2 linked regions of the Alligator mississippiensis genome follow. The protein of the gene in region 1 interacts with the protein of each later gene in a biochemical or structural test. Links are inferred from orthologs where the notes say so. Each region holds a gene or a part of one and is shown on either strand. Other genes may lie near its edges.

Region 1 (16,169 bases):
TTTAGATAACTGGCACTATACACATACATTCTGTTATACTTTCTAAGCCATTTACCTCTTACTCTGACTCATACTCTTCCTGGTTTCCCCACATCCTTTATTTCTACTGCTCTGTAGAGAAATGGTGTGGATGTTGATTTCTATATCCTCACTATACCACTTCAGGCTGTTTTTTTATTCACATATCCAAGGTGTGAAAGAACAGAGTTTAACCTACAGGCCCATATCTACAGGGACCTGTACTACAGATTTTGGGGTAAAAAGAAAATTAGATGCAACTCTCTCTTTCATTCATCACTTCCTCTAAAAACCCCAAGTGCCAAACATACTAACCTAAATGCTCTCAGCTCCTTCCAGTCCAGAGAATAAGGAATCAAATCTCTGATTCTCTGCCATAAAGCCACTATCAGGCCCCATAATTCCATATCACCTCTTCTCTATGTCTGTTCCATCTCTTCCCCAGGGCATCCTCTGCAGCACAGCTTAGTCCCATTCACTCTGCCTTGCCTAGTAACATCAGAGCAATACAAACATAATCCTCTACTGAAGTAGTAATGGGAAATAGGAGCAAGAGTAATGGAAATTTTGCCATCTCCCTCAAATAATTTTAGAAGGTTTGCGCATAAATATTTCCAATTTGTGAAAACCAGCCCTTCGGCATATAAGAGTATGATCACTTTGCGTTTTCCTTATTTAGAAGACTGGTTCCTCCTGTACATGCAAAATAATCAAACAAACTAGGACCTTGGAGCTGATACCCATTTTAGACCTATGTACAAAAATAAGCCGTTTTTCCAAAACTGACAGCTCTCACTGACTACCAATCATCAAGTCTGTTAGGCAAAAACATTCATATTTTAAAATCAAATGCGTTTAGAAGGCAGTTCTTGCAGTGTCCACTTACAAAAGAAAACTGTGGGCAGACAATTTTTCTATTCTGTTCCCCAACTTTAAGTCAATACTGTAACCATTTTGGAAGCCTAAATATAAATAATTAATTATACACAACAAAAGTAATTAAGTTTGCACAGCACATAAAATCTAGTATAAGTGACTGTTTAAGAAGGTTATTTCCTGAATCCAACAAACAGCTCAAGTGAATGCCACTGTACTGAAAGCAGCTGAGACACATTTTACCATTCTTCCTGGCAAAAGGCATCTGGTGCCAAATCAGTTGCCAACTAAAAAGGAAAAAAAACACTAAAAAGGCTCAAATACATATTATTATGATGCACGTGTCAATTTAAAAGTGAATTCATCCGTGGTAATTTGTTTTCAATTGTACAACGCCGAGATAAAAATGGAACAAGCCTCTCCAATTAATAAACACATCCTATCAAAAGTCCAGACTCTGGCTTAAAAAGTCTTTTTCCCCCCCTCATGCAATCTGTATATTCCTCCTCCCCCCCCCCCCCCCCCCCGAAACAGGAAGGAAGCCTCCAATTCCCTTCACTAGGGTAAAATTCCAAAGGTCAAGCTAAAAGACCCTTGCTTCTGCCTTTCTTTCAGAAAAACTACACATTCAGCTACATATGAAATACAGTTTCCACATAACAGCTAGAAGTTACAGCAGGAAACAACATTAAGCAATTCAGCACTTACTTCCTCAAAATGTCCTGTTCATGATTTATGCAATTTACCTTCAAAAGCTGCAGAATCCATTCACTAAAATCTCAGGACCATCATTTATGGGAGTCGCACAGTATTCCAAACTATTAGTTTACAGGACCTGAATGCAACATTTAAAGTCATGTGTGATTTAGTTGTTAAACAAATTGAAGTAAACAAGACTAGAAAATGATGCTTTAAGCAGATACAAAAACACAGGGCATCATCTTGGGCACTGACAGTTGGGGGGGGGGGGGGGGGGGGGGGGGGAGAAACAACAAACAAATGAACAAAAATCCAAACAAACAACAGCTTCACCGGAAGAAGCAACACGTTAGTTTGACCTGGCTCCACAGCATCCAAGTAGATCAGATGCTTCAGTGGGGCTTCTTGGTGCTTTTATCTAAAAGCCGATTCAACCAGCTATAAGTGCCAAAAAGGCCCCACTAAAGACCCTGATCTATACAGATATTGGGCAAGCCAGGTCCAACTAATGCGATGCCTCTTTTGTGCATGCACTGCGCTTGGCACAGGGGTGTACCAAACTTAAAGTAAAAGTACCATTTTGTTTTTTTTCCACCTCTGTAAGCAGCCCTTGACTTTAATTGACAGAGGTTAACAAGCACTATTTTATACACTTTGACAGAGAAATGAGCTTTCCTCTGTAATCTTCACAATCAACAGTAGTAACTCAAAGGAAAGAGTTTGCATAATAACTCTGAAGGCATCATTTTCCTACGTTACTTATAGTCTTCACTGTCAAACGCACTAAACAAGTTATTGCAGGTATGCTCGCTTCTGTAAAAGAATTAACTGTCTATCCTAAAAACTAAACTCTTAAAAAAATCCATGTAAGTTAATATTTGTCAGCTGATGAGGTTAAAAGCAGCAGCTTGAGCTGCAAATTCTTTGATTCTGTATGTTGGGAGCACAAAGAGAGAAATGACAAAGGAAGTTCATCACCTTCGCAATCCCCATATTGCAATTTAACACACTGGGGAATTCATCACCAACCTTGCCAGTTTTATGCAATGACTCCCAGTTTTCTTTCATCCCGACAAGGGCAACAACAGACTTTACCAGGAGCCAAGAAGGATTGAGGGAAAGGTTCATACACAGAAACCATGGCTTATATTTGCATGGCACCTACTATAGTGCCCACCGCAGGTGGGTTACCCTACCTCCCAACATGCCATTTTAAAGACACATTTAGTCATAAGTAAGTGTCCAGCTTTCTAGGTTGTCACCTAGCACTAAGATTAGCCTGAGAAATACAATGGTACTTTATAAATGCCCATTTAATTAGCATTTATAAATCTCAGATCTAATTTAATTAACTAAGGAAAAAACTATGTTTTGTCCCACTCACCCTCTACATAGTTGCCTACATATTAATACAACTCCTTTTACAAGGAGATGAAAACAGATTGCTAGCTGAGGACTCAAAATCTGGCCTGTAGAAGTGCTGAAGGAAAGGTACTTGGCTGTTCAAAAATATCAGATGCCTTATTTCTAGCTGCTTTCAAAAAAAAAAAAAAATCATCACTAGAACTTATAACCATAGCCAGAAGTTTCAGACAGACTGAAAATCTGATTACAAATTAAATCCAGTAATTTAGTTATTTTAAAACTGTTTCCCATTAGTCAAATCTTAAAAGAAAAAAAAATGCGAAAAAAAATCCCCAACATTTGAGCCAACTTCCTCTTGTTATTTATTACTTCTACATTCCATTTCCTTTTCTTCTCTCCCTCAACAGTCACCACTTTAAATTTTCTTTCAGTACTCTCAGCCTTCCCTCTAATCTCATTGGCTCCATTTAGCATCTTCTTTCTTTTTCCTTTTATTAGACAGACTTTCAGAACATGAATGGCTTGGCAGACAAGATACCCTACTACCTGGAATTCTGATTTGGTATTGTTTGTTGCACAGTACATGGTAACCGTAAACTGCTTCCCAGTTCCTTTGAACACTGGCATCCAGAGATCAGTCAGTTGCTGGGGGCAGAGTAGGAACAAAGAAAAGAAAGGACAAGAAAGATGATTTAAGTTTCATCTTTTCAGACTGATATATATTCATATATATATATTTCATATATTTTGAATACAGATACTTCTAAAGTTCTCTCAGGGGAGGGAAATCAATCTTTTAAGATTATTGCTTTTAAGTCTTATCTTTAATAAAACTAAGTCTTGCCCAGGTAAAGACAGCTAGATACCAAATACAAAAAAACAGTAACCAGATGTGTTTACAACAAACATTTGTGTGGTTTGATCAAAAATGTCAAACAAAATCCATTTAGTTTCAACTTCACAAAGCACAGGTGGTGGCAACAGAGTAACACCTGCAATGAGAACAGCATATTGCTGTTTAGATCTGAAAGACAGAGCGTATGCACCAGTAGTCACATTTCTGTCAGAGACCTCACAGAGCCTGGTTTGAGTCACTTAAGTAGGGACCCAGATGATGACATCCTACATTTAATGCTGTACTTCGTCTATAGCTTCTCTTGCCTTGTTCTGCTTTGACTGCCTCTTCCCACGATAAAGACAAATGGGGTGCCATAGCCAACCTAGATGTTAAAAATACTGACTGACTTGTCCGATCAAAGATACTCAGTATAAACACCACGTTTTGATCCCACCTACTCATTCTCATCACCCTACACTGGCCTTGTATCCTCTAATCCTGTGGCAGTGCCATCTAGGACACTGCCACTACTACAGTCAATCCTCTGTAACAGTAGAACAGATGGCTTTATTCAAGCCTTACCTTACCAAAAATAATATCTCTCTCATCATCAATACACTTTTTCTAAATTTGATTAAACCTACACACAATGCAAACTAGATATAAACCCCATGAGACTACTGCGTAAGTCCTGACTCTGCATTTTAGCATGTCAGATTCTTTCCAAAAAAGGAAAATACAGCCACTTGCAGACAGGCTGTCAAGTACACAGCAGGTTTTGATTCTCAAGTGGTTGCTGGTTATGTGACTTTCAAATGACTAATGGGATTCATTTCTTTTAAAAACATTAGTAAGGTTTATGATTCTGATCATTTTAAATGAACACAGTGCCAAACAGATTCTTTGCAACTTTTCTCAAATAGAAAGAAGAGTCAGACAGGTCAAAACATGAGCTGCAATTACTATGTTCATGTGTTTGTCATATTTCCCATGAGTAAAACCAAATGCAACCTCACCTTTTAAAAGCATTTGCATCAGCAGATTTTTTCGGGTGGAGCAAGTAACTCCCAAGAACAAAACAAAAAGTTTAAACTGTGTTGCCACCCACTCAGACAGATGTCAACCTTTCCCTATGCAAATTCTGATTTCCTAGTGCAGTTTCAATCTAAAGTGTCAAAATGATTACTTTGTATTTTCAGAAGCAATTTCCTTAAAGAAACATTGTGGTTCCTTTTCAAGTGTGGTGCTCCATGAAAAGAAGGATAACCAGCTAGCTGCAGATGGATACCAAATAACTTGGAAGTATTAAAAACTGTATTGAGCTTTGGTACAGCACACCCAACTGGGGACACGTTACATTTGAAAGGCTTATCTGAAAGACAACTCATGGCATATAGTTCAGCTTCCTTTTCTCTATATCATTTTTCCCGGGGGGGGGAGGGAGGGAGGAGGAGGAGAACAGCTGAGTTCTTTGGGGAATGTACAAGAGGCACAGTGGATGGAAGACTGGATTCGGAAGCAAAGAGATCAAATGAAAGCTTTGCAAACAGTTTAAATTAAAGTGTCCTTAAAGCAGCACCCACAGAGGAGCCTCAGACAGAGGCGCAGGGAACTGGGTCACTAGGAAGCCACCGGTAGCAGGCTGTGGAACCTGGGGCTGTCCCAGCAACAGGGGACACCAGAGCAGTCTGAGGCCCAAGCACCCTGCAGTGGGAACAACAGGCCGCACCTCACAGAAGTGACAGGCCCAAGCATCCATTGCCCTCCGGATGGGGCGCCACAGCAGCAGCAAGCACTGCCTCCCACCCTGCCACACAACGCCCCTGCACGCACACCTGGGACGAGCATGTCCTTTCAGCCCCAGCGGTCCCCAAAGCATGTCTGTGAGCGCACATGCTTACACACCTCCACACACACTGCCAAGGTGTGGGGGGCTCGGGCACTCCTGCCTCGCGGAAGTCCCTCACAGTGGGCAGGTGGGGTGCGACTGTGACAGGGTGTGCGTGGGGGGGCAGCGGAGCAGGGGCAGTGTGCGCCTGACTGACTGACGGGGTGTGGGTGTGGGTCCCGCGGAGAGCAGAGCCTGGCAGCTGGGCGCGCCCTTCCCTTCCTGAGCTGCATGTGCCGCCCGACACACACACGCACACGCAGGCAGGCCCCAGGGCGGGAGGCGCGACGTGACTCACAACAAACAAGCCCGGGGGAAGCGGACACACCCTCCGGGCGCCGCGGCCCGCCCGCCCCCACCCTCCGCCCGGGAGACTGGGATGAAGTTCAGCAGAAAACCTCAGGGGAGAAAAGCCCCGGGCTGCGGCGGGGGCCCTGCCCGGCTGCACCGCTCCCTGCTCCTGCCGCCGCGGCGCCCACTTCCTGCCCTGCCCGGCGCGGCTTGGGCTCGGGCTGCCACCCGCCCCGGCCCGGCCCGGCCCGGCCCCGCCGGCGGCCGCACCTGGATGTAGTTGTTCTCGCAGTAGTCGGCAACGCGCGTGAGGTTCTGGTAGCTCTCGAGCAGCGCGCGCTTGCCCACCGGGATCTCCTCCTCTAACAGCATCTGCAGCTCTGCCATTTTCCACCGCTCCGCATCGCTTCCCCCGCCTTAAAGAGACAGCAGCGGCAACGCCGCCGCCTCGGCCACCCGCCCAGAGGGCATTGTGGGAGACTGCCCCACCCACCCGCTGTGTGGCAGCCTGGGAAATGTAGGCCTCGGCGCTCGCCTCTGTGCGCATGCGTAGGAGGAGGATTGCCTCCGCCGCCTCCTGCGTTTGTCTTTACCACCGGGTCTGCATGGGAGACTCCCCTGCCCGCGCCGCGTCTCGGCTGCTACCGCGCTGAGTGCCTGGGTGGCGGCTCCCCAGCGAGCGCTGCCCGAGCCCAAGCAGTTTTCGGGATGCTTCTTTCTCATCCCTGTTGCTGGGTTTTTGGTTGTAGCCATGTTGGTCTAAGGACACAGGTAAGCAAGGTTATTTGGGTAGATGTGATCTCTTTTATTTGACCAACTGAGTAGTTGGAAAAAAGTTCTTGGCAAGCTTTCGGGCTCAGTCAAAGGGTGACAACACCCAAAAGCTTGGCAAGAACTTTTTTCCAACTACTCAGTTGGTCTAATAAAAGATATTGCATCTACTCAAAGAACCTTGTCTTTCTTATCCCATCCTCTTTGGTTCTTCCAGCAAGCACTGCTCCCCCATTCAAAGTGCTGTGAGAAACCCAGGAGGAAAACCTGGTGGGGGCTGTGGTCCTTGTGGGAATGAACCAGAGCACTCGGGCCACCAGAAGAGGAGGAGGCTGAAGAGAGACACTTCTTCAGTATCTTTTCTGGGGCAGAGTATGGGTTCAGGCCACTTTTACTGAGTTGTGTGATAGCATCAGGCACGGGTGACTGGTGCCTCTTGAGTCAGTGACTGGGAGGGGAAGGGAGTCCCCCAGCAGCCAATCCCACTGACTGCCTGCCCCCCTGCCTGTCGGCTAAACAGGGAGCGCAGCCTGACAGGGTGCACCAGCACTCAGGGGGTGCATATGCACCCCCTACGCATTGCCCCTGACATCAGGCTTTCTTATAATTGTGTGCACATCTCAGCCAGGAGCTGCAGTGGCAAAACTAGAATAAGGGGCTGCGTCCAGAAGAGGACAGACGTTTGGTTCCCCGGGGACAAGAAACAGCCACCTTGTGCCACTGCTACTTGCCCCAGGCCTGTGCCAGGCTCTGGTTTTGGGTGGTGTGCACTGCCACCACATGCACTACCCCACTTCTCTTCGGCACAGGGGTTTTTGACCTCCAGGATTTCCTGGGGTCAAAAAACCCTGTAGCACTGCAAGATTGCAACATGGAGAACGTCTGCATGTGCAGCATGTGGCACTGCAGATGGGTCTGTGGTGCCACATTCCGCACAGCCGCACTAATCTGGACACATCCACAGATTGCTGCTCAACTCAAACAGGCATATAGGCATCTGTCTTATTTGCATCTTACCTGACTTTGTGTTCATCACCAGAAAGGGGGTGCTATAAGGTCTGAGTCAGCCAACACAGAAAGTTCATAACAAGTGATCTAGGAAGGTCCAGAAACTGATTTTCTTTTCTTTGCAATTATCATTGGAAATGTCACACCTGTGGACTTGGATGAGCATACTCAAGAGCCAGAGAGGAAGCCTCTACAGAATAATGCAACTAAGGGACATGTGATGAGCAGACATGGCGTTCTCCAGCTTTGGTTGATGTAAGAAACACATTTTAAAGCATTAATTAAACTTGCTGAACATGTCTTCTTGTGTACATGCACTAGCACAAGGATTTAATTATCACATTTTATGTTTTTGTATTAATTGCTGTATTATGAATGGTGCTTGTTTTGAAAATGATAAAGTTCTTAAGGGGACAACTCTGCCTCAGGATCTTACACTAATCAGAGCTGTAGTAGGCAGCAAATTCTCCTGCTGCTTTCATGGTTCCCTTTCTCTACAAACTGCCTCTACACCAAATACTTTGTATAATCCAAACAGGCAACCTCCTCCTGGTGTCTGCACAAGAATCAAAACTTTACTGGAACAAGAAACAGAACTTGAAAGGTCATATGTAGCAGCGCCACCTAGCTGATACTTGCTGTTAATAGCGGCTTACTTTTGTTTTCCCTATCCATGCAAAGGTTAAATGATTGTTCAAGCATTGGTCAAGCACAGCAAGGCAACAGATGATTTGAAAACAGCACACCTCTCTTGACTGCAGGAGAAGAATAGCTGTGGTCCTATTCAAGATCTACCTACAAAAATAAGTTCTATTCCAGGGAGAAGTTGAGATGACATCCTGCACACAGCAGATTTTGTAGATGCTTAAATATGCTGCTGCATCACTCTAACTTGGCTTCTTATGCATGGGCTCCCTTTGGCTGGGATTTAAAGGCATCCATAAACACAGCCACATTTTGAGGCAGTGGGGCCAACCTTTTTAACAGACCTACCACAAGTTAAGCCTTGCAGCCTCCCTAAGTACTACTCTAATCCCCTGCCCAGTCCCATCTGCTACTCTCCTTCCTGCTTCTTGACTGATCTGCTCCCATGCTGCTGCCTACCCCCTCCTCAGTCTGCCATGTGCCACAAAAAGGCTGCCAGTGCCACTTGCGGCATGTGTGCTGCAGTTTGGCCACCCCTGTTTTGGGGCTTGGTTCCTCCTGGGTTAAGAAGAAGCCTCACAAATGGCAACAAAGTGAACATTTACTCAGTAATTTGGGTAGATCCACAACCCTTGGTCTTCTTTCTTAGGATCATCCTGTACTGGAAAGTTTTATCAACCATACCGATTACACATATAACCTCTATCCCAGTATCCAAAGTGAACACTCTTATGCTGGTACAAGAGTGGCTTATTATTATTATTATTTATCCCTTTCTCAGGGGAGACTAGTACAACCAAAAAAGGGCACTTCAGGCACTTTCATACCTGAATAAGATTGACCAGAAAATTATATCAGTAGAATTATTTTCATTTATACTTGCATTTTAAACCAGGGATCAGCAATGTTTTTTGGGCAGAGTGCCAAAAGCACCCACAACCTCAACTTGTAAAATGTTCACATGCTAGGGCAGATGGTAGGGGAGCCACAAGGGGCCCAATTGTTGTGACAGTGGAGCCCCAGCCCTTTCCCCACTGCCTGCCCCAAACTTTGTGTGCCAAGTAAAATGCTTTCACATGCCAAGCTCTTGCACCCATGCCAGGGGTTGCCTACCTCTGTCTTAGGTTTGTTGGGTACAGTTTATCTCGTGTAAATATAGCCTTGTACAAGGAATGAAATTACCAATGTAATTAATATTTTGTTGATATCATGCTTATTTTTATCATCCCTGAGTTAACACCTCACTGAACTGAATGGGGCAATTCCCACGTCTCTCAGCTCATGCAGAGAGCCCTACAAGACATATATATTTGAGGTTTTCTTCACAACTATAAGAGCTGGAGGGTTTTTTCGTGAGTGCCAAGATTTGAGAATACGAGTATCTTTTTCCAAGAGGTGCCCTCACACACCATGCTCCTGTGAACCCGCTGTTCCTGGGATCTGCCTGACTTAAAAACCGGTGCCTTGTATACTGGACAAGGCTTCCACACAAACTGTTTGTTGCTAGGCAGCAGGAGTGTTTTGTGATGGCAGAGGAAGCACACTCAAGCCAGTCACTGCTAGGCAGCATTAGCCATTGGAGAGCACAAAATAATCAAACAAAACATTGCTATCTTGAGAATGTACAAAGATAGAAGAGGCACAAAAATAAATAGTTCTATGGTACTTTGACTTGATCTTTCTCCCGTAATGCATTTTCATCTATGGCTTATGCCTTCACTCTCAATCCTTTTCTCCGCCCCACTTCACCATTTCTCTCCCCTCTCCCTCCCTCTACGCTCCAATCTTCTTTTATCCCATTTCCTCCCTATAAATGCTCTAACCACCAAGCTTCTCCTTTCTCTCCCTCCTGTTCTGTCCTTTCAATTTCAGTTCTCTCCTCTTCTTTGTTCTGCGGGACTCCCTGCCTCTTGTTTGCCACTTTGTTCCTCCCTCCCCTCAACCTTTCATCTTTCCTGGCTGAGTCTGAGGTCCCCTCTTCTCTAATAGCTCCATAATTTTTCTTACATCATAGATGCTCTTAAATCCCTTCCTCTCCCAGCTCATGGTCACTCCTCTTGGTTTCTGTTTTGCACTCACTGCCAAAATGCCCTTCAAAATGCCAGTTGCAAGGAAGGACGAAATCACAAGATGAAGATAGTGCTTGAGAAAGGGGACAGGTGGTTTGTTGTGAGGGGAAAAAAAGGGTCAGTATTCTGCTGAGTCACCCAAATATGGACAGAAGCAGCCTCATGACCTTCCTGCTCAGGTCTAAGGCAGGAGGCATAAAGAGTGTTTGTATAATTAAATGGCAAGTTGGTCAGTCTCATACCCACATGATACGTTGACAGAGCTGAGGTTGAACAATACTGTAATGAAAACTTTGGGATACAATAAAGCATAAAGATTATTTTCTGGCAGGGATCCTTATTATGTTAATGTATTCTGGCCAGGCCTCACCATTAGTTCCTCTCTTATCTAATGGCTTTTAATGCCTTTTTGGAGTGGGTAGCTTTAATGTGAAAAGAATACATCTAATTGCAAGAAGCAAGCCCTGCCTTGCAGCCTTAGGGAAGGCATTACATAGGCTACTCTCTAGCACAATTTTTTAAAACTGAGTCACAGACCCTTCAAATCACTAGGCAATGGATAAAATGGAGAATGGGGAAGTTTCTGCCCCACTGGGAACAAGGATCTATGGTTGCCACTCAGTCAGTTGGGCAGCCACCCCGCTGAACCACACACCCTTCAGCTTAGCCTTGTCCTTTGGCCCCGCATACCTCTGTCTCTTGGATGCTCAGGGAGCCAGCTTTAAAAATTCTTAACCTGTGGGTTGAAACATGGGAGGATAGCTCTCTTCTAATATATTTTAGTCATGGTTTTCTGGCCAGCTACATTTTAGTGACTTGATGAGTCCATTAGTTACAGAGTTGGTTAGGAGTTCTTAAAAATAGTTTCTCATTCAAAAATGCCAGTTCACCAAAACAGTAGTTTTTAACAAGAATGCTGCAATTTGTTCATTAGAAAAAAAAAACAGCTCCCAAATTAAAATTCTGGTCAAAACCAACAACAAAGAGCCCTACCTCAGAACAAATATCTCAGTAGTTAGAATACCTCAGGTAGGGTGTCAGAAACCAAACCAAACCCAATGTTTTGAACCAGTATATTCCAACTGAATACCCACATGACTAGGCTATGTTGTCAATCTAATTTTACAGCTGTTCCACCTTTATAAATAAATACTTGTATTTGAGTCTGAATGGGACTGAACAGGGACTTTAAATTGTGTCTCCCACAATCCCACTTGAGTAATCTGACTTTTCTGGGTGGTAAGGTCTCATATGAAAAACTTGTAAAGGTCTTGTTTTTGCATCAATACAGAACGAGAATGTTTGATACATGAATATGCAAATTAAAAGACTATTACAACCTAGCTCTTATATGCACTTCAAAATTGATTTGGAAACTTATCATAGAATATTGATAACTTAAATCTAATCCAGTCCCTATCTTCATCCTAGCAATATATATCAACTGTGTGGAGAAGAAAGGAAAATTGTTTCAATTATCAGTCCTTCAAAAGCTAAAAAATGTAATCAATGTGGATTCTTTAAACAAGAAATGGGTTTTATTTCTGTATTAAACAAAAATAAATCAAGGAATCTGCAAAGAAATGCAAATTTTATAAAGGTAATGGGGAGATATTATACTTCCAATTTTGTCTTTTTAATTGTGTTTGAGAAAATGTAAACTTGCATAGAAGTTCACTTCTACCTGGTTCCTACAGGAAAAAAAATCTTTTCTACAGCATAATTTTCTAAACACAGATTTAAAGAACATATAATTTTGTACTGATTAACCAAGATGCTTCTTTTGCACTGAAATATATTTCCATCATAAAGTAGAACACAAATAATAATTAAATGATAGCATCATGCTACTCTGAAAGGAGTGTGGTATCTTTCCAGCAGAAGTTTATATTCCAAAACTATTCTGCAGTGTTAATAATATTTCTTGTCACAATATTGGGATGGTAAAAAAGTCACAATGTAGTATTTCATGCTGTACTATTGTTTTATTAGCCAAAGACATGGTAAGGATATTGGGACTGTTCCTGCAGCTAATATAATGGTAAAGCTGCCATTTACTGCAATGGAAGCAGGTGTAAGTTTACAATTTTCTGGGCAGAAGTGTCCTGGATTCCAGCAGAAGCCAACAGGAATAGAACGTGGAATATGCACAGTGTTCTCCCATTTGTGGGTACACATTAGCATTATCAGAAAATAATGTCAACTTAAGAAAAAACAAAAGAAAGGAAGAAAAGATGTCACTGATATCTTTATCAAAAGCGCCCAACCTGAAAAATCTGAAGAAGATGGGGATACAAACCTCTTGGTCATACACTAGAAATATTCTCAACTGGGAACTTACTTAAAAAAAAAAAAAGCATTCAGGCCATTTGAAGCAATTTGGCACAATTCTAGTTATGCAGAAGGTATAGGGTTTTTTTTAATTTCATGTTACATGTTGTTGTGTAATAGGAATAATGTCTCTTTTAATTTGAGACTAAGTAATATCTAAACAAAAGGGGAGACATGATCAATCTCAGCAATCATTCATTGCTTTCTATAATAAAACAACAAGGACTACCTTCTAGTTAACCAGAATGGAAGTTATCCGCCCTGACACCACTGGCTTGTTTGCAAAGTCAGCTAAAGCAGATTGAGAGTATTCCTGTGATAGGAAGAACTGTGTGTAAAGTAAAGACAGCAGCCTTGTGTTAGATTCAGTAGAAGCTGACTCTAGCCTTTAGCCATTAAGTTTTGGATTAGTCATAACAAGCAGTATTTTCTGTGGCTAATATGTTTGCTTTTCTGTTTGCAAATAGGATTGTGCCAAGAAATATTATTTTTATATAATATATATATTATTATATATATATAATATTATGCTTCCACTTTTGTCTTTTTAATTGTATTTGAGAAAATGTAAACTTGCATAGAAGTTCACTTCTACCTGGTTCCTACAGGGGAAAAAAAAACTTTTCTACAGCGTAATTTTCTAAACACAGATTTAAAGAACATATCATTTTGTACTGATTAACCAAGATGTCTCTTTTGCACTGAAATATATTTCCATCATAAAGTAAAACACAAATAATAATTAAATTATATTATTATATTCCAAAACTATTCTGCAGTGTTAATAATATTTGGAGTGTTAATAATATCACTCCAATTTATAGGACAAGGACTTAAAGTTTATCAGACATACTTCATAGAATCATAGAAAAAGTAGGGCTGAAAAGGACCTTAAGAAGTTACCTACCCAACTCCCTACTCAAGACAGGATCATCCCTATTCAAACTACCTGTAACAGGCAGCCTGAGTCAATTAGCCAGCAACAAGCCATGTAAGGGGCCTCAACTGGCAAGCAATTGTCAATACAGAGGGAAGTTGACCGAATGACCAGATATGAAAGGACAGGCAGAGGCAGAGGCTTCCATAGAGAGGGAAGACTCCTTGAAGGAAAATTACAAGGTGAGACCTAACCTATGCTGGGAGTGTTTATTTTGGGTAGTTTTGTGGTGCAGATTAACCAAGGTCCTTGAAACTTGTGTTGCTGGGGCCAGGTTAAGGGTGTGTTCACTTGGATTTTTTTGTGTTTAACTGAGCCTGCCTTGCAGCCTTAGGGGAGGTATTACATGGGCCACTCTCTAGCTCACTTTTTTTTTTAAACTGAGTCAGCCCCTTAAAATTGCTAGGCATTGCATAAAATGGAGAATGGGATCGACTGCACCCTCAGCAAATTTTCAGATGACACCAACCTGGGGCAGGGAGGAGGAGTAGATATGCTGGAGGGTAGGGTTAGGATTCAGAGAGACCTTGACAAATTGGAGGACTGGACCAAAAGAAATCTCATGGGCTGCATCCAGATGAGTGCAGACATTTGGTTCCCCAGGGACAACTAGCAGTGGGACACCTTGTGCCTTTGCTGATTGTCCCCAGGGAGTATCTGCACCACATGCCCTCTGGCACATGGCAGGTTACCCCATGTAGGGTAGGGGAGGCTGGGGCCAGCAACTGTGTTGTCCCCAGCAGCCTTACCTGGGGGCCAGGGAAACTGCAGCTGTGTCATTCTGGCAGCTTGAAGCCTGAGCAGCAGCCAGAGCATGGCTCTGGTTTTGGGCAATGCGTGCTGTCCCCATGTGCACCATCTGCTTTTTTTCTGTGTGGAGTGTTGTTTATTTTACCCCTGAATCTCCAGGTGTTACAAAAAAAACCCAACAAACCCTGTGCTGCAAGGTGGCAGCATGGGAAACGCTTGAATGTATGGTGTATATACCACAGACTGGCTTGCAGTGCCACATGCCACAATGCTGCACTCATCTGGATACAGCCATGCATCCAGGCTCAATAAAGAGAACTGCAGAGTCCTGCACTGACGATGGAACAATCCTATGCACCGGTACAGGCTGGGGACCTCATAGTATGTGAGGGTTGGAAGGGACCTCAAAATCTAGTCTAACCCCTGATCAAAGCAGGACCATGCCCAACTAGATCATCCCAGCCAAAAAAGGACCTGGGGGTTACAGTGGATAGTAAGTTGAATATGAGACAACAATGTGTCCTTGTTGCAAAGAAGGCTAATGGCATGCTGGACTGCATTGGTAGGAGTGTTGCCAGCAGATCAAGGGAAGTGATTATTCCTCTCTATTCAGCACTGTGAAGCCACATGTGGAGTACTGTGTCAAGTTTTGGGCCCCCCATTACAGAAAAGATGTGGACAAATTGGAGAGAGTCTAGCAGTGGGCAATGAAAATAGTTAGGGAGCTGGGGCACATGACTTCTGAGGAGAGGCTAAGGGAACTGGTCTTATTTAGTCTGGAGTAGAGAAGACAGAGGGGATTTAATCACAAGCTTCAAGTACCTGAAGGGGGGTTCCAAAGAGGATGGAGCTGGACTGTTCTCAGTGGTGGCAGATGACAGAACAAGGAGCAGTGGTCTCAAGTTGGAGCAAGGGAAGTTTAGGTTAGATACTTGGAAAAACTCTCACTAAGAGGATAGTAGAACATTGGAACAGGTTACCCAGAGAGGTTATGGAGTTTCCATTCCTGGTTTTAAGACCTGAGTAGATAAAGCCTTGGCTGGGATGGTCCTGCTTTAAGCAGGGGGTTGGATTAGATGATGTCCTGAGGTCCCTTCCAACCCTAATTTTCTATGATAAATATTTCTCTAGCTCAGGGGAAACTCATCAGGCCTCTTGGGGCCTGTCTGCAGGTCTGAGTAGGCCCACAGACAGGCCCCATACACCAGATCTAGTGTGCAGGGCCTGGTTTGTGCCACATTCAGCACACTCTGGACCAGCCATACGCACTAAATGCAGCGCACATGCTGGCTCCAGCCTCATGTGCTTCACTCTTGTGTGAAGAATGCAGTGCATGTGCCAACTCCAGCCCTGTGTACTATATGCAGCATATGCCAGACCACCTCTGCCTGCCACATGCTGCATGGAGCTAAGGCTTGTACATGTTGCATGCAGCATGTGGGGCCCAGATGGGGCACACTAATGCAGGACTAGTGTTGCAGGCTGAAGGATAGGGCTCTGTCAGCTGGATTTGGCCCATGGGCCATATCCAACACTTATACTCTAGCACACAAGGCAGAGATGCATAGTTCTGAACCAAGATATCATGAATGTTATTTCTTCTGCCACACTTGTTGAAGTTAACACAATACTGTTAACAGTTCAGATGTGACCAATGGAAAAAGTCTAATGAGCAGCTCTACA
Region 2 (16,450 bases), on another chromosome or scaffold:
TCTTTGTGGAATGCCGTGTAGAAAGACTCAGCCACACAGGCCTAAAACTTGCTCACTCTTCTGGCTGCAACAAGCTGCAGGAAATACGGAGCATTCCCAGAGAGAGTAAGTAAAGCTCCAGGAGTATAAGAAAGACTGTATTTAGGTTTCTGGCAGAAACAGGCTCTTGCATTGCTGGGTATCTAAGAGTCTCCTGACAACTTCAATACCACTGAGAAAAACAAGTCTCAGTATGATTGTACAAGTGTTGGAAAGCAGAATTGCAAAGAAATGCTCTTCAAAGCAAACTAAAAGGCTAACTGTGTCAAACAGTTTGCAGATCAACTACCAGGGGCCAGCACTGGGTCCAGGTTGCCCGAATTGAGAACACTTTTGGTACTAAGAACAGGTTTTTTTTGTCAAAGTCTTCCTGCTTCTTAGGGCTAAAAATAAGTGATATTCTTTTAACTATTTTTAAATTAAGAGTTTTTCTTATTTTTATAAACAGATCAGTCTAAAACAAAATCCAAATTTTGTGTAAAATATGCTCGGGGATAGACTTTTCATAATCTTAAAAAATATTTAAATAAAATAAAATATGCTAAATCCAGGAACTATCATCAAAGACCGTTACTAACTACATACTTTCCCAACATAAAGAATCAGGAAAAAAACAGTTACTTTTGAGGGCAAGGTCTATAAATATGGCCCAATCAGTCATGTACTACCATATTTGCTCAAATCCAAGATGAGGTTCCCCATCCCAAACAGCGTTGGAGGGGAAAGCCTCGTCTTAGATTCAAGTACCAGCCTGGAACAGGTAGCAGCTCAGCTCCAGGTGTGGTCCCAGGCTCAGAGCCAAAGCCAAGCCACCCCCTGCCCCTAGGCTGGAGTGGCTTGTGCAGCAGGAAAGGGGACACGTAGCCAGGGAAGACTGTGTGGTGAGGAGGGGGGCATCCCACTGTTGGACATGGGGGGGGGGGGAAGGGGGGAGAGCTGGCCACTTGCCTCCATCGTTTCTTTCTCCACCACAGCAGTAGGGGGACATATTTAGTATGACCTTCCACTAATAAGATTCTATATATGGAAAGTAAAACAAATTTATAATTTTTAATGTATAACATCTAACTATTGGGGGGGGGCAGTCATCTTAAGTTCAAAGTTGTCTTGGGTTTGGGGAAATATGGTATATTAAGAATGTATTCCTACGAGGACACAAGGACTCTACTACTAGATACAACAGAAGCACCATGGATGTTGGGACCCAGCCTGACTCCAGGCAACCCTATCATAGCACCTCATAAGGAACATCCACTGAGCTGCACATAGGTGGTTTCATACTCTCATTAATCAAATGCAAAGAGACTCCATTTTGTTGTCAAACTACATGTCCTAAAGCAGTGGGGGTCAATCTTTTTGGCAGTTACATCACAAGTTAGTACTGCACTCTAAGGGTGCACCAATAAAGATTTTTTTGGCCAATACCAATGACCAATTATTAACCTACCACATCAGCCGATACTGATCCAATAGCTGATATGCAGCCCAGCAGCTTTTAGAGCAGCCTCTGGCTGGTAAGTCTGTGGAGGTGGAAGGGAAAGGGGGCAGACTGAGGCCCCCCCATGGTGAGGGAGGGAGTGGAGCTAGGGCAGGTGCTGCCCCGTCAGGGCAGGGCCCAAGACAGAGCCACGGGCGGCTCGTCCAAAGGGCACAGGAGGTGGGGAGGGGTGCGGCTCCTAGATGCCGCACACACCCCTAGGGGAAGTACAAGGGGGCATGTGGGCCCCAGACTTGTGCATGGAGCAAGGGTGGGCTGCCCACTGCGGGCTTGGGGCCAGAGGCTGCACCAGCCTCTTTCCAGTGGGGGGGGAGGGGCGGGGGGCTGGACCGGGGGGGGGGCAGCAGCACTGAGAAGGAAGGCTATAGGGTGGGCTAGCACTTGGTCTTCTCCACCTGGCCCCTATGCTAGGAGGTAAGTGCAGACTCACCTCTGGGTAAAGGCCAGGCTTGTCACTGCTGGCCCCTACGTAAAGAACTAAGTGCTCACTCCTCCCTTCCCTGACTCCCATCCCTTTCCTTTGTGTATGAGAAGCTAAACAGGCTCATCTGTGCCCACCCAGCTCCAATGCAAGAAGGTTTAAGCTCATGATTGTCCCTGCCTTGCTGCTCTGTGAGGAGTTAAGTGCTCATCCCTTCTGCTCACACTCCCCGCCCCAACCTGGAATTAAGTACTGCAATAAATAAATTACTTATTGAAATGGGGTGCCTTATGGCTTGTCCATAATGCCAATTTGCCTGCTAAAGAAACAAGCACCACATATTCCGTGCTACTCCACAAATACCCAAGCCTGGCAAACAAACAAGGCAAAATGATTAAATGGGTTCTGACCGTGTGCATAATGTCATTCCTAGGCTTTGTGACTTGGGAGATCATGAGAATAATCCTGAGGCATAAGATGCAGGCTGCTGAAGTTGGTCTAAGCCAGCAGTGAGCAAGCTTTGGGAAACAGGCCAAAACAACCTGCCTCTGGTGTGATGCAGGCCAGGGGCTTCAGTGGCACTGTGGTGGTAGGTGAGTTTTTTTGCCTATACTGCTGCTGCAGTCAGAAGGGAGGGAGAAAAGAAGCAGTGGCAGGATGGGTCCAACTTCCATTACGTTCATTACATTGATGCAACTTTCCACCAACAAGTGCAATTTTGTTTTAACAGTGGTAGATTTTATACCACTAAGCAAAATAATAGTTAATAGGACTATTCATGCTTGCACCTGTCCAAGTATTATACTGCCTACAACAGTTTTATAGAGTTCAAATAATGCTCTAAGTATCAGTGGGATTTAAAAGAAAAAAAACCAGAACACAGTGCTTAATTCATTGCATATTTATAATAGCACAAATTCAGGTTAATTTCATAAAACAGAACCATATTTTAGTTAGTAATTTAAAACTACCCCCATGCGAATTAAGATTGGGGTAACTATTGGGAGGGTAGACAAGCAATGCCATATGAACAAGGATATAAATCAATATCCTGAATTGTAATAAGAGACATTTTAGTTTCTAGAGGCAGAGATTCCACAACTTCTCTAGGTAGCCTGTTCCAATGCTTGACCACCCCTACAGTCAGAACGTTCCTCCTTATCATTTACCTAAACTTCCTTTGTTGCAGCTTGAGGCTCTTAACCTAGTCCTGTCTCGCACAGCCACAGAGAAAAGCCTACATCTGTTCTCTCTACAAATTTCCCTTCGTGTATTTGAAGACTTAACCTGGAGGCAATACCTAATGCACAGCCCGTAGGATGGGATCAGGACTGTGGAACTGTGTCACTCAGCCACAGCACTCCTAGAGAAACTATGCCTACTATTGAAATCTGGGTTATGAGATCCCACTGGGGGTACATGCTGGCAGCAGGGGTTAAGCGATGGGTGGAGTCTATCCCTGTGGTGACCATTGCCAATTTAGATCCAGCTCAGGGAGCTGGGTGAATACAACACCCCTGTCTTACATAAATCCATTCATAGTGCATTTCATGCTCAGTCCCATGCTATGAGGCTTAAAAAAGGGCTTGTCCCACTGCAGCCCATCTGTTCTGCCCTCATGTTTTTGCAGTTTTGGTGACAATCATTTACATGGCAACAGGCTGATAGCCAACAGGTGTTAGACTTGACTACAATACAGTTACAGAAAAAGTTCACTATTTAGTTGGCCTAATAAAAGCTACATCTACCCAAAGAACCTTGCTTGTCTCATTCAAAGAAACAGTGTGACAGCAAAGATCAATAACAATTCCATATGAAATCCTGTCAAACTAGATTTGTGATTTTTTTTAAATCAAGTACAGGTGTGTACACTTCACTGTGCAAAAACAATGGACCTGTCAATTAAAATGTTTAAGGTAACCTCCTCACTGAAATGTTCGCTATGTACCAATCTGCATCAAAATTTGCTGCACTAACCCTATAGCCAGCAGTGTGCTCTGTGTGAAGCTGTACATAGATCTTTGATGCCAAGCAGCTAACAGTCTCAACAGACAACCTAAGAAACTAAGAGAAATGTCAACTTTTCTTAATGTTTTGAAAATGTACTTTAGTGTTTGAGAGTTTAGCTTAAACTAATTTGAAAAGAAAAAATGACCCCTGCGATACTGAAAGAGAATGTTTTAAGCATAGAAGCCATATAAAGAGTGGCGAAGCTGGCTTAAACCAGTACGGCAAAACGATGAGCAAAAGTAATAACAAATTGTAACAGAGAAATAGGTAAAGGAAGAGTGAAGTAAATCATGAAAAACCTTAAGCTTCAAAAATTATCTAATGCTTTTAACTACAGTTTTACTATCACTCCAATTATAAAATAGGTGATGAAGAACAGGAAGTAGTAACTTGTGAAAAAGAACTTCACTGCACTGATACGAATGGACCAACAAGAAGCAAAATGGAAATTAAGGATGTCAAAGTTAACGAAACCATAAGGTGGCAAATAAGGTGTGGTAGAATCTAGACCTTTATATAATGATGGTTCCCAACCTGCTTACATTTGCACCAAGTTACCAAGTCAAGATAAAGCCAACTACACTAGTGGTTCTCAACCTTGTTAAACTTGAGGCACCCCTCAAAATTCCACCCCTTAGGTTTTGTTCATTTATTGAGTGCACAAACATTATAGAGCAATTTTTGTTGTTGTAAATAACTCCAAAAGACTACAACAGGTCAGAATGTTTTTGACACTCTGGATTCCTATTTGAAATCTCTGGGTTTCTCTTAAGAACCCAAGTTTGCACACATAAAAGTGGTAACATCACATTTCACCCTGGTTGAAAATCAATGCACTGAACTGTTCACTCCAGCTTTTACTTCAAATTACATTCTTTCTCCACACAGCTGGCTGGAGAAAGGGTGTACTTTAAAATGAAAGCTGCAATAAATGGCTGGAGCACCTCAGGAGTCTCTCAGTGCTGTTTGCTGTGGCTAGTTCTCAAACCCTCATCTTTACAGGACAGTAAGGAACCTAAACTTGCAAAGATCCAGGTTGTACTTTATCTATCTTAATATACTAATATGGTGCTTCTCAACCTTCAGTCCACCAGCCAGACACAGAGCCAGATGCAAAGCCAGTGGGAACATCTGATTGTCAACCAACATGTCAGCATGGGTGAACACTCCTGCTACTAGTTCCTCCTTTCCCCTGCTACTAAATTCAGTGATGGGGAAAAAGGGCTATAAGCAGCAGCAGTGTTCATGCATGCTGACATACCAGGGAACTCTGAGCTTTCACGCAGCTCAGGAGCTGATCACGTCACAGTTACTGCTTGGACCCTCTTTTCCTTGCTCTAGCTACATCACCTCAAAGTAATGAAAACCCCATTGCTCTGGGGCACAGCATGGTCCCAACCTGCACTGCATTTCCAAAAGCACACAACCCTCCCTTTAGGAGGTGCTAGTAGGGCACTGGGAATCACAGACAACTGAAATAAGATACCATGTTGCCAGCTAGGCAATCTCCATCTGTCATTTGAGAGAAATTCTTTAATTATCTTGTACAAGATTATGGTTGGTCTTATTTTTGGTAATGATTTTTAAAAGTTTAATTACGTTTAGAATTTTTTAAATAATACAATAGTATACTGAACTTTTACTTTGTATAAATAAGCCTAAAATACTAGAATAAGTAATGTCGGAAAGGAAAACCATATAAAATACTTAATATTAGGATACTCCAAAGTATAGAATTATAATGTTTTTCTATACGGAGAAGCTCACGTCCTTGGTTAAAAAAAGGAAAAGAAAAAGAAAATGAAGCAAACCTTAAAATAGTTGAACAACACTGCTCTAATAGAAAATAAGAAAAGCAGGGGGAAATTGGCAGAAACTAGCAAGTAACAAGCTGACTCACCAAGTGTTATCAATTAACGTGGAACAAGATTTTTTATTGGGGGGGGGGTTTCATTTATTTTTTTAAATATAATTTATACCCTGTTTTACAAAATTATATGCCAAAAGTTAATTTAGGCAACTGGAAATTGGGTATCATCAAGACCCTCTAAAAAATAGTTAGACTTCTGATTTTATCCAACTTTGATCTCAAAAATAAATAAATTAATGGTTTCAAAATATCTGGCTTGATGACTCAAGAACAGATAAATATATCCAAAATAAAAGGTTTACAGCTGCAAGTTGTTTAGTTAAACTCAGAAATTACCCCTCAGATCATCCATATGTTTTTTTCCTTCAATATCAGGGGAAAATAGCATGAAGGGAATAAGAGATTACTAATACCAACATGAAGAAATTTTCATCTAACTTTATACGGTGAAAAATTCATGTTTCCATCAGACAAGTCAACAAAACATGCATCTTCCTATGTTTCTAGTTGCCTCATACAAAGGAAGGAAAAAGAAATAACTGAAGGAACACATAGAAATATAACCAATACACTTCTTACTCTATGCAACTATTTTTTTTTAATTGAACTAGATTCATAAGACTCTTAACAAGCCTTGTTAATAATAAAAATTATCTGTAACAATACATAAGATTACTAATGTATCTTAAAATAAATAACACTTCTAGGGACTAAGAATTACATTTTACACATTTTTGACTCATTAAGCCCACCCTCTGCATCACCTTCACATAAAACTAAACATCTCATCCAAGAGGAATCTCAGCAACTGTATTATCCCAAATCCCTCAAGGTATCTATGTTTGGTAAAAAAAGGCTCAGAGACAGTCTGAGCAGAAAATTTCATTGCCTGAAGCATTCTATTGGCTGTCAGACTAGTAGTCTTGCACTAAGATCACTTTAAGTAAATCAAAGCAGAGATTTATGAATCCAAACATATCATTCTTTAATGCTTCCTATGCTTTTTCTCAGAGAATGTCTGCATAGAAGAGGAGCAATTACAACACTAGCAGTACAAACAACTCAGAATTCTAAATAATTTTTAAAAGAGACTTTTTGATTTTATATTCATTTATTATTTCTCAATAGTCTCAATTTATATAAGAGACTACACCACTGATGCTCCACCAGGGTGCTGCAGCATCCTCCAGGGTACCATGCAACATTTGGGCTGTTTAGTATGCATGGTTCGCAAGACAAACCAAGAGATTTTCAATAGGAATCCAGTGTCAAAAACATTTGTTGTGGTCTTTTTAATTTTTTTTGGAACAGCATTGCTATATTATTTTTTCATAATCAAAAACTGAGGGAAGGCTAAGAGCTGGCACTTTCCAGGGGGGTGCTTTAAGACCAAAAAAGGCTGAGAGTCACTGTACTGGATATTAGAAGAACAGTCATGCAAAAACATCTTTGTACCCTTCACAAATTAATTTATGCCTTATTGTGACGTTTAATGCAAAACATATGATTAGCAAATGATATCAGCAGATCATTTTCTCAACTTCACCTAGAAAATATGGCCTGTTCTTTGACACTTGTGGTCAGAATGTTTACTGACTAAATACCAAAGTAATTTAACAGCCAGATATATTTTAAAAATCACTTTCCAAGCAGCATTTGAAAGAAGTTTGGAACAATCTTCAAACTAATGATTACACGGATTACAAAATGAGCACATTTTATTAAATAAGGCAATTTGATTTTATATGAAGGTCTAACAAATCACAACAAACAACCCAAAGGAAAAAAAATATTAGGAATCCCCTTAAAACAAATAAAATAATCTGCATTCTATCTAGCAAAAGCTAGCCTCAGTAGCAACTACTGTATTTACCTGAATCCAAGACAAAACTGAATTTAAAACAACTACCCAGTAATTAGATTCTATATATAAAAAAATCTATTAAAATGCTATACTTTTCCATGTAGTCAGCAGTCCCTCAATATCAGGGTGACAGTCTTCCATAAATAGGGAAGTCATTAATAAATCTGGAGATGAATGAGGAGACCAATGCAAGATCTGCATGTTGATTGCAGGCATGGTATACAGTTATAGAAGGAAGTGGATCCTGGTGATGCTGGGTCTCAGCTCTTTTCCTTTGTCCCTCTCACCTATTCACCTCCATAATGAGACAAATTTGATCAAAATGGTCAATGCCTTGTCATACTCAGCCAGGGATGATTCAGAGCTCAGGTCCCCCAAGTATTGATGTCAATATCACAGTTCTTCAGATTGGTCTTTAAGCTGTCCTTGAAGCTCTTCTTTTGCCTACCTCTAGAAATGTGATCACTGGCAAGTTGCGAGTACAGGACCTGTTTCAGGAGCCATTTGTCAGGCATCCTTATGACCTGTCCTGCCTAATGGAGCTGGTGCTATATATAAACATGGCTTCAACACTGGTGATCTTTGCTTGAGCCAGAACTCCAATATTCATTATTTTGTCCTTTCAATTGAGGTAGAGGATTTTCTGAAGACATCATTGGTGGTAACACTCCAAAGCTCTCTGGGGCTTCTGTTAAGCTGTCCGAGTTTTACACCCACACAGCAGGCTAGAGATAACAACAGCCTGACAGACAAGAATTTTGGTTTGGGTCCTGATGTCATGATCAGGGACACAATTTTGTAGATGTTCAAAAGGCAGCAATGGCAGATTTTTTCAGTGCTGAATCTAGAAATCATCATCATCCACGTTTCCATTTCTGGTAAGGGAAATACTCAAAATTCTCCAAGTATTACCCTCTAATTGTAATGTGTGGGGGAGGAGGGAGCAGCTGGCTGTTTTGGGGCAGGTTGAAAAAAGTATTTTGTTTTTTTGTGCAGTTGACAATAAGTCTAAGCATTTCACATGCTTCACAGAAGCAGTGAGTGACCTGGATCTCTTTGATCAAGTGGATACATATGACAACAGCATACTGAAGATCAGTAATGACAATGTTGGTTATCATGGATTTGGAACCTATCTGGTTGATGTTAAAGAGATTCCCCAGCCACACAGTACTGGATGCTGACTCCAGATGGAAGCCCAGCAGCAATGAGATATGAAATAGCTGCAATATAGATAGAAGAAAATGTTAGTGCAATCATGCATCCCTGCTTGACTCCAGGAGTTCTAACAGCAAAGGAATTAATTTCTGAGCCACAGCTTACACTTTCTCATCATGTCATCATCACAAAGAAATCTAATGATGGCAACAACTTCTGATGGGCATTCAAATCTCATCAGTATCTTCCAAAGGGCCTTTCTGTTGATTGAATCAAAGGCCTTAGGTCAACAAAGGCCATATAAAGATCTCAGTGTTGCTGCAGATAAAGCCATGTGTTGATTTTGCTATCTGGACCAAAATTGTTACTCAGATGCGAAATGTCCGCTTGGCATACACAAGTGTCTCGTGACCTTTTGTTTTACACTGACCAACAGACAACATGCAACAGTCATCAGTGCTTACGCCCTGGCTGCACATGATGAAACTAAGGAAGAATCCTATTCTAAACCCAGCCAAGTCTTGTCATCTGCCCCCAAAAAAGATAAGACCATTCTTGGGAATTTCAATGCTACACTGGGCAGAGAATCTGAACTATGGAAAGGAACACTTGGAAAGGAAGGGGTGGGAAAAGTCAATTCAAATGGAATTTTCCTTCTGAGCAAGTGTTTGGAATGTAGTCTTATCATTACAAACTCCCTATTCAGTTACAGAAGAAATGAAAGACATCATGGATGCACCCCCTACTCAAAACACTGCAGAGATATGCTTAAAAGGGGTAAGTGGTGCTTTCAGCAGTCCATCCAGTTGCTCACCTCCACAGAAAACTAGGGCAATCTTATTAACCAAGGATCAGGGCAGGTGTGCTGGCTCAAGTGCTTGGCCCAGCCCGGCATGGTTAATGAAGAAGACACCCTGACAATATGTTCCATCATGCCCATTCATCACCCCAAAATGGTGTAAGCAAAAGAAACAACCAAAGAAGAGGTTCAATATTATTAAGTGCTTGAAAGACCCTGATAAAAGCAATTATTTCCAGCAGTACTCTCCAACCTCACTGATGATATTGACACCACTGATCACTGGGAAAGCCTCAGGAAAGGCATGCTTGAGTCATGAGAAGAATCTCTAGGCTTCTCCACAAAGAAATATCAGGACTGGTTTGATGAGAATGATAAGAAAATTCAAGTTCTCATTGACAAAAAAAGGGGGGGGGGAGTGGGAAGGGTAGGCAGCAGGGGAAGTCAAGCAGCTTGCTCCCTGCTCCTTGCTCCACAACACCTTGCCCTTGCCACCTGTCTGTCCACACCACTTACCTCCCCCACTATCCTATGTTTGGGCTGGGGTTGGGGCTGGAGCAAACATGCGCTGTGGCCCAGGCTGTGGAGAGGCTAGAGCCTGCTGAAGCTGGAGCCAAGCTAAGCAATAGGGGGAGTTTTAGGGGGAAAAGAGGAGGGAAAAGCAGGGAAAGGGAAGAAACAGACAGGGGAGCAGAGACTGTGGGGTACAAGGAGACAGGGAAAGAGGTAGCAGGGGGATGGGGACAGGGACAAACAGCAGCCTTAGCTTGGGCTCCAACCCTAGGTTAGGGCCAGGGCTAGAGCTAAAGCAACAACAGCTAAACCTTGTAAACCAAATCCAAGACAAGGGGCTTTTTCTACCACCCCCATTAAATGGGGGGAACTTTGTCTTGAATTTGAGTAAATGCAGTAATGTCCCCCAAAGCCACCCTGCTTCAGTCCACCCACCTTGCTCCCACTCAGCAGCAGTGGTGTCTGCCAAGCCAATAGGCACACCAAACTGCTCCGCGTCCTTGGCAGGCTCCACTCCAGGACTTCCAACCAACCAGCTAGGACTGGAATAGGGAAGCCGGGAGTGTTCAGGTTTGCTTGGGATGGATGGTCATCCTATTCGTTAACAAAATTCCATTTAAGATTTGGATTTAAAACATTTACTTTTTCCATTTAATTAAAATGAAGTCAGACACTTCCTTCCTTTTTCATGTCCTTGTATGACAAGGCATTTTGCAGAACTTGTAGATTCGTTAGAATCTGACAGGGCTGCACCATGAGCACTTCTGCTATGGTCTTGACCTTGCAACCTCTGGGCTGTCAGCCATGCACCTCAGTGCCCATGCCACCCCAGTGCCAGTCAGATAAGGAAGAGCTGTACAGGCAACCCCCGCTTAATGCTGTTTCGCTTCGCACTATTTCACTATAACGCTCATTTTAAATTGATACCTGATTTCACTTAGTGTTCAGCGAGTTTCATGATAACGCTCACGGTTGCCATCTTGAGTCATTAAAAATAATTGTGGTCACCATCTTGGGTTGTCAAATACTTTCAGTTTCACTTAACGCTCGGTTTTTCAGGAACAAATTAAGAGTGCTAAGTGAGGGTTGCCTGTATACATTTTAGCAAGGGTAAAAGGGAAAAGGCTGCTCTTCAGAGCACTATCTGGGAATGAAATTATAAATCACGGCTATCAAATTCAAAGTAAGTGGCTGGATATTTGCTAAGCAGCTGCTTTATGGGTTTGAGGAGCCCGGTCAGAACCTAACTTCATAGCCACTGAGTATCTAAGGCAGCAGTTCCCAAATGCTGAGAGACTGCACACCACCAATTTAAAACCATACAACCTTAAGTACCACCAGCAAATTTTTGTCGTATAAAGTAATTATAATAAATCTGTTAATGCATACCAACAGGTTTTCTGTGTACCACTGGTGGTATGCATACCACAGATTGAGAACCACTGAGCTAAAGTGTGGGCGGGTTTCTCTTTCCTTTTGCTTTCTTAACATATTAATTTTGGAATAGGAGTGGCTCATGTATGTAAAATATAAAATCTTCCCTATATTGGTTTTGGGGGTTCTCTGACAGATTAGTACTAGTACACTGCTATGTTATGAGAATCTAGATGCCTAGGCAGTTTTGCAGCCACTGAGAAGTGTCAAATTAAGATTGCTCTGACTTGTACACCTACATTTCCAACTTAAAGGATGTAAATGCGTAAGTACCTACAAAGTCTATTAGGATCTCCTAAATAGGAACAGAGAACTTCTATGAAACCTATCACTACAACCCATTTATACAGTGTACTCAATTTAAGTGCCTAGCCTCTCGACTAAAGAAGACCTGTGGCACTTTCTCCAACTCAATCTAAACAATACTCATTAACTATAGGAACAACTTGGACAACACTTTCTGCATCTCATTAAGGCCCATTACATCATTTCTCAGAGTGCCTCATGCCTCTAATACAGTGGTTTTCAACCTTTCTTCATTTGTGGACCCCTAAAAATTTTTGAATGGAGGTGTGGACCCCTTTGAAAATTTTGAATGCAAGTGTGGAACCCTCTGAATTTTAAGTAAGGGTATTCACATAGTTTTGATTTATCATCGTCATCTTTTTCAGACCCCTTGGGCATAATCTGTGGACCCTCAGGGGTCCCTGGACCACAGATTGAAAACCACTGCTCTAATCAGCAGCCTTGAAATTAACAAAATCTAATCAGTTCAAAGCTGATTTAGAGTTCTTGAAATCAACAGCTCTAAGTCAGTATTGTCAATTATGCAATTAGTGGACTACAATTACTTACAAAATAGACAGTATGGCCAAAAATTCCTAGCGTTTAAATGATTTATACACTTAGTCAACATGCATATAACCAAAGTTTGTCACAATGCAGGTAGCTGGGACTAGACTTGTGTTACGCAATTAGGCAAACTTTGCACTTGTGGCAAACCCACAGTGTAAAGTGAAATGTAGCATACACTTCTATAGTGCAAATAGTCTACCAAAAAAAAAAATAAAAATCTAACATATGCACATAACTTGTTTGTTTCAGCAGAAGATGCTCTCCTAAACAGCTGCACCAAAATTTGAGAGTCAATACAGCTATGCATGCAGATTTTAAAAAGTTAGATAGACAACTTTATTGTTCCTTTCCTTGAAAGGAAGAGGAACAGTGGAAACAAAAGGAACTCAACAACAACCAACACACCACACAAATAAACTAGTAAATGTCTTAAAAGGCACTACAGAACAGGTGCTCAGATATAAATACATGTATTTCTTAACCGTGCAATCAGATAATTGCATTTACAATCCTAGTTAGGACTAAACCCAGATTCTCTGAACAGACTATCAAAATATTCTGTGAAATCATTATTAAAAAAAAAAATAAAAAAAAATCAAACTTTATAAAATATCAGTTCTTTAGTCCTGTAAGTGCTATTTCTTTAAACTACCATAAAACATGCTACTGTATCTACTTACATTGTTATAGGCAACTGAAAAGTCAAAGGAGTTTCCAGTGTTTTAATAAAAAATTGCTGCTCTATGTCAGACATTCTTAAAACCCTCATGGTAAATTAAATATCCAGCACTGCAATTCTTCTCACAAACGTCTAAGTGACCAAGACTATTAGAAACTTGTAAGCAATGCCTCAAATTTCTAATTAAGTTGGATAGTCCTCTTGAAAGAATGTCTGTCCCCTAAAATAAACATACTGCTGAAAGCTTATCTACATACTAAATTCTCTCTTCCCTGCCTCAATCCTCTTTAACAGCAATATTTTAATATTAGATGTAGTCGTATAATTGAACAGCTACTTCTACAGTCCAAAATTAAAATGTGACCATTGTATACATTTCTGTCTTCAGTCTGTTCCTTTCTGATTAAAACATCTATTCTCTAGAGCTACAAAACTATTAGCTTCCTACTCAGTGCTGTCATTCTCTCTCCTTATAAGAGTTAAGACTAGGAGTTTCCTAATTTGGAACGCCAGCGTGGCAACACAAAAATCTGCTACTAGACTCATGCTGGTTCTTTTTTTTAAATCTTAGGTCTTCAAAATATTTATGAATTAGGAAGTTATAAGATTAACTCTGAATGTTTTAGCTAAATGGCTGAACAGATTTTTAAAGAGGCATATTCATTTAAAAGCTAAAATTAACAGGTTGCAAGAATCTTCCAAATCTAAAAATAAAGGCAGAGTTAAGATGTTAGAGATACCTTACATCTTGTTTCAGCACTTATTTTCAGTCAGCTATAAGAAAGTGCCTTGAGTGACCAGTGACAGTTCAGAGAGTCAAAAAATGGCACATCTTCATATCCCCTAAAAGATTCTCCCTTATCCTATAAACCATCTGAGTAGATAAGCAAAAGGTTTCAGGAGTTCCTAGGAATGAACAAATTTGTACTCAAAAAAATTTCAAATACGACATAAATCAGCTGTCGCAATGTGGACAACCTTGTCATTATTTGTCATGCCTAAACCTTCATTTTGAGGAAGATAAAAGGAAAATACTTACTAGGAAGTTTTTGCAATAAACTGGATTGCTAAATATTTCCTGGACCTAGTCAGCAGTTTTTAGGCATACATAAGGTAGAGAACCAAAGCTGACTGGGAAAGTAAATTAACACTTTCTAAAAGAGAGAAATATCAAGCATACATGCTTATCCCTTGATACAGATGACCATAAGATAACAAGTACCATCAAGTGTACTCCAATAATACTACAATTTACTTTATGGTTAACTCTATCCCCCCTTTTTTTTTTAGGTTCTAGATCACTGGCCAGCAAACTAAGTGTGCCTGGGGGGGGCCATATGATCTGGTCCAGGAGGCTCACCAGATCCAGAAATCTGGCAGCAGTGGCAGCATTAAATCACCATAGCTTCCAGAACTAATTAACTAATTAGTGGCAATTAATGCTGTCACTATGGGGAGCCCTGCAGGTCAGACCCAGTACTTGGCACCAGACCAGCACATGGGTCACACCTCAGCTGGATCTGGTGTACCAGGTTGCACCCACAGACTAACCCCATGCTGGACCCAGCATGCAGACTGGCATCCATGCCATTTATCTGACCAGGAGAGCCAGAAGGCTGATCACCAGAGTTCTAAATGGCATCTACTCAATTGTCTCAAGGTCTTTAAAAGCTCCTTTAGCTGGCAAGTACATGAAAATGACTGTTATGTATCACTAGCATTCACAAACTGAAGATCGTGTTTTGTTACTACTGCTAAATTTCAAGCCAATAGCAACATGCACTTTGTCCTCCTTGGTAAAGCATATATTCCCATGTTTTCCTGTTACCTTAGGTTTGGACTACAGGCAGTCAGACTTATAATGTTTCAAGTTACAACATTTTGCACTTACAACGTTTATAAATTGACACCGTTTCAACTTTATGATGTCAGTTTCAACTTCACAACGCTTGATCCGATGCCACGCCACACCAGCAAACAAGTTCACTGTGTCACTCACCTCCCTGGAGACCATCTGTCCAAACGTCCTTGGACAATTTCTTTAAGAAAGCAGACAAGACTCCAGAAAAACCTACAGCCAAGACTCCCAAGAAGACTCCAGCCTTTCAAAAAGTCCAGCAAAGTCACCTCAAAGAAGTCTTTCCAAAACAATGTGATTGCTATTTACTATATAAATGCATTAAATGTAGTTATATTACTCATCTATAACTGACAGAGTACAAAATTCTGGAGTATTTTTTGTGAAAATTGTGTATAGGGCCTTGGTTCAGGAACCAATCCTCCATTTATAACAGTATTTCTTATGAGAAAATTGGTTCGGAGTTGCAACGTTTCGACTTAAAATGCGGTTTTCAGGTGCCAATTGTGTCGTAAGTCTGAGGACTGCCTGTATGCTACAACACTTTGCAAAGAACTGCATCTAAATGTTACTCTGAGAGGTACAATAAGCAGCTACTCAATTGTTAACATTGCAGCATATTTTAAAAATCATGTCATGCCACTGGTTGTATACAAAGTATGAGATACTGATCCTAACACAACTCTGTGAGTTATCTACCAAGAAATGAGTCCACCGATATATCAGTTGCCTACTGGAGCAGCGCCGGTAAGAGGGAAATTTACATTACTGGCTATCAGCTTGTTTGGCCATTATAGCCAATAATGTTCTCTGATAATTATGCCTTCTGGCGGGGACCCCTGGATGCCTGGGTTTCCTCGTGACCGCATGGCTGGGGCCCTGGACACCTGGTCCCCCCCCGAAAGTTGGGGTGACCCCCCCATCCCCTTACTGATAGGCCAGGCTGAGCTAACGTGGAGCAGCTGGCACAGTGTCCTCGGCATGGCACAAACTGCAGGCTGGGGCCAGGAAGGGGTGGGTAGAGCCAAGTTGCCCAGCCCAGCGTGACTCAACCCACAGTTAATAGACTGGTATTGGCTGATATGGCTGGTTATAATTGGCTATCAGTATCGGCCAAGAAAATCTTTATCAGTGCACCCCTACTTCCTTAAAATACTCCATACATCTCAGTCCCATGGGCCAGATAATATGGCTCTGCCAGGCAGATTTGATCTATAGGCCAGAGGTTGATCTCAGTCCCATAACAGAAACTGATCAGAAAAGGATGTTAAATATTCCTGATACTAGATGAAGCAGATTCTTGTTAAAGCATTCATCTTTAGAGAACTTTAATCTTCACTAAAGGGCAAGCCAAAACCTCGTGACTTTCCGAATAATTCATTACTTCCCAAGAAGGAGATGTTTTACTAACAGGTGATGGTCATGAGACTCATCTGAGCCAGGGTAATTAAA

What was found.
Region 2: the proteins of ABI1 (region 1) and ENAH form a complex in vitro, tested with the Homo sapiens proteins (2 studies listed by BioGRID). The link is inferred for Alligator mississippiensis from reciprocal best matches to the Homo sapiens genes ABI1 and ENAH.

Annotation. Positions count from the first base shown.
Region 1 is NC_081828.1:189,406,585-189,422,753, forward strand, and holds the start of ABI1 (abl interactor 1), read right to left. Parts: upstream 6,448-16,169; 5' UTR 6,363-6,447; coding exon 6,246-6,362; intron 3,604-6,245; exon of another isoform or gene 3,505-3,603; intron 1,730-3,504; exon of another isoform or gene 1,641-1,729; intron 1-1,640. UniProt on the Homo sapiens protein: May act in negative regulation of cell growth and transformation by interacting with nonreceptor tyrosine kinases ABL1 and/or ABL2. May play a role in regulation of EGF-induced Erk pathway activation. Involved in cytoskeletal reorganization and EGFR signaling.
Region 2 is NC_081824.1:180,326,285-180,342,734, reverse strand, and holds the start of ENAH (protein enabled homolog), read right to left. Parts: upstream 7,818-16,450; 5' UTR 7,803-7,817; coding exon 7,795-7,802; intron 1-7,794. UniProt on the Homo sapiens protein: Ena/VASP proteins are actin-associated proteins involved in a range of processes dependent on cytoskeleton remodeling and cell polarity such as axon guidance and lamellipodial and filopodial dynamics in migrating cells.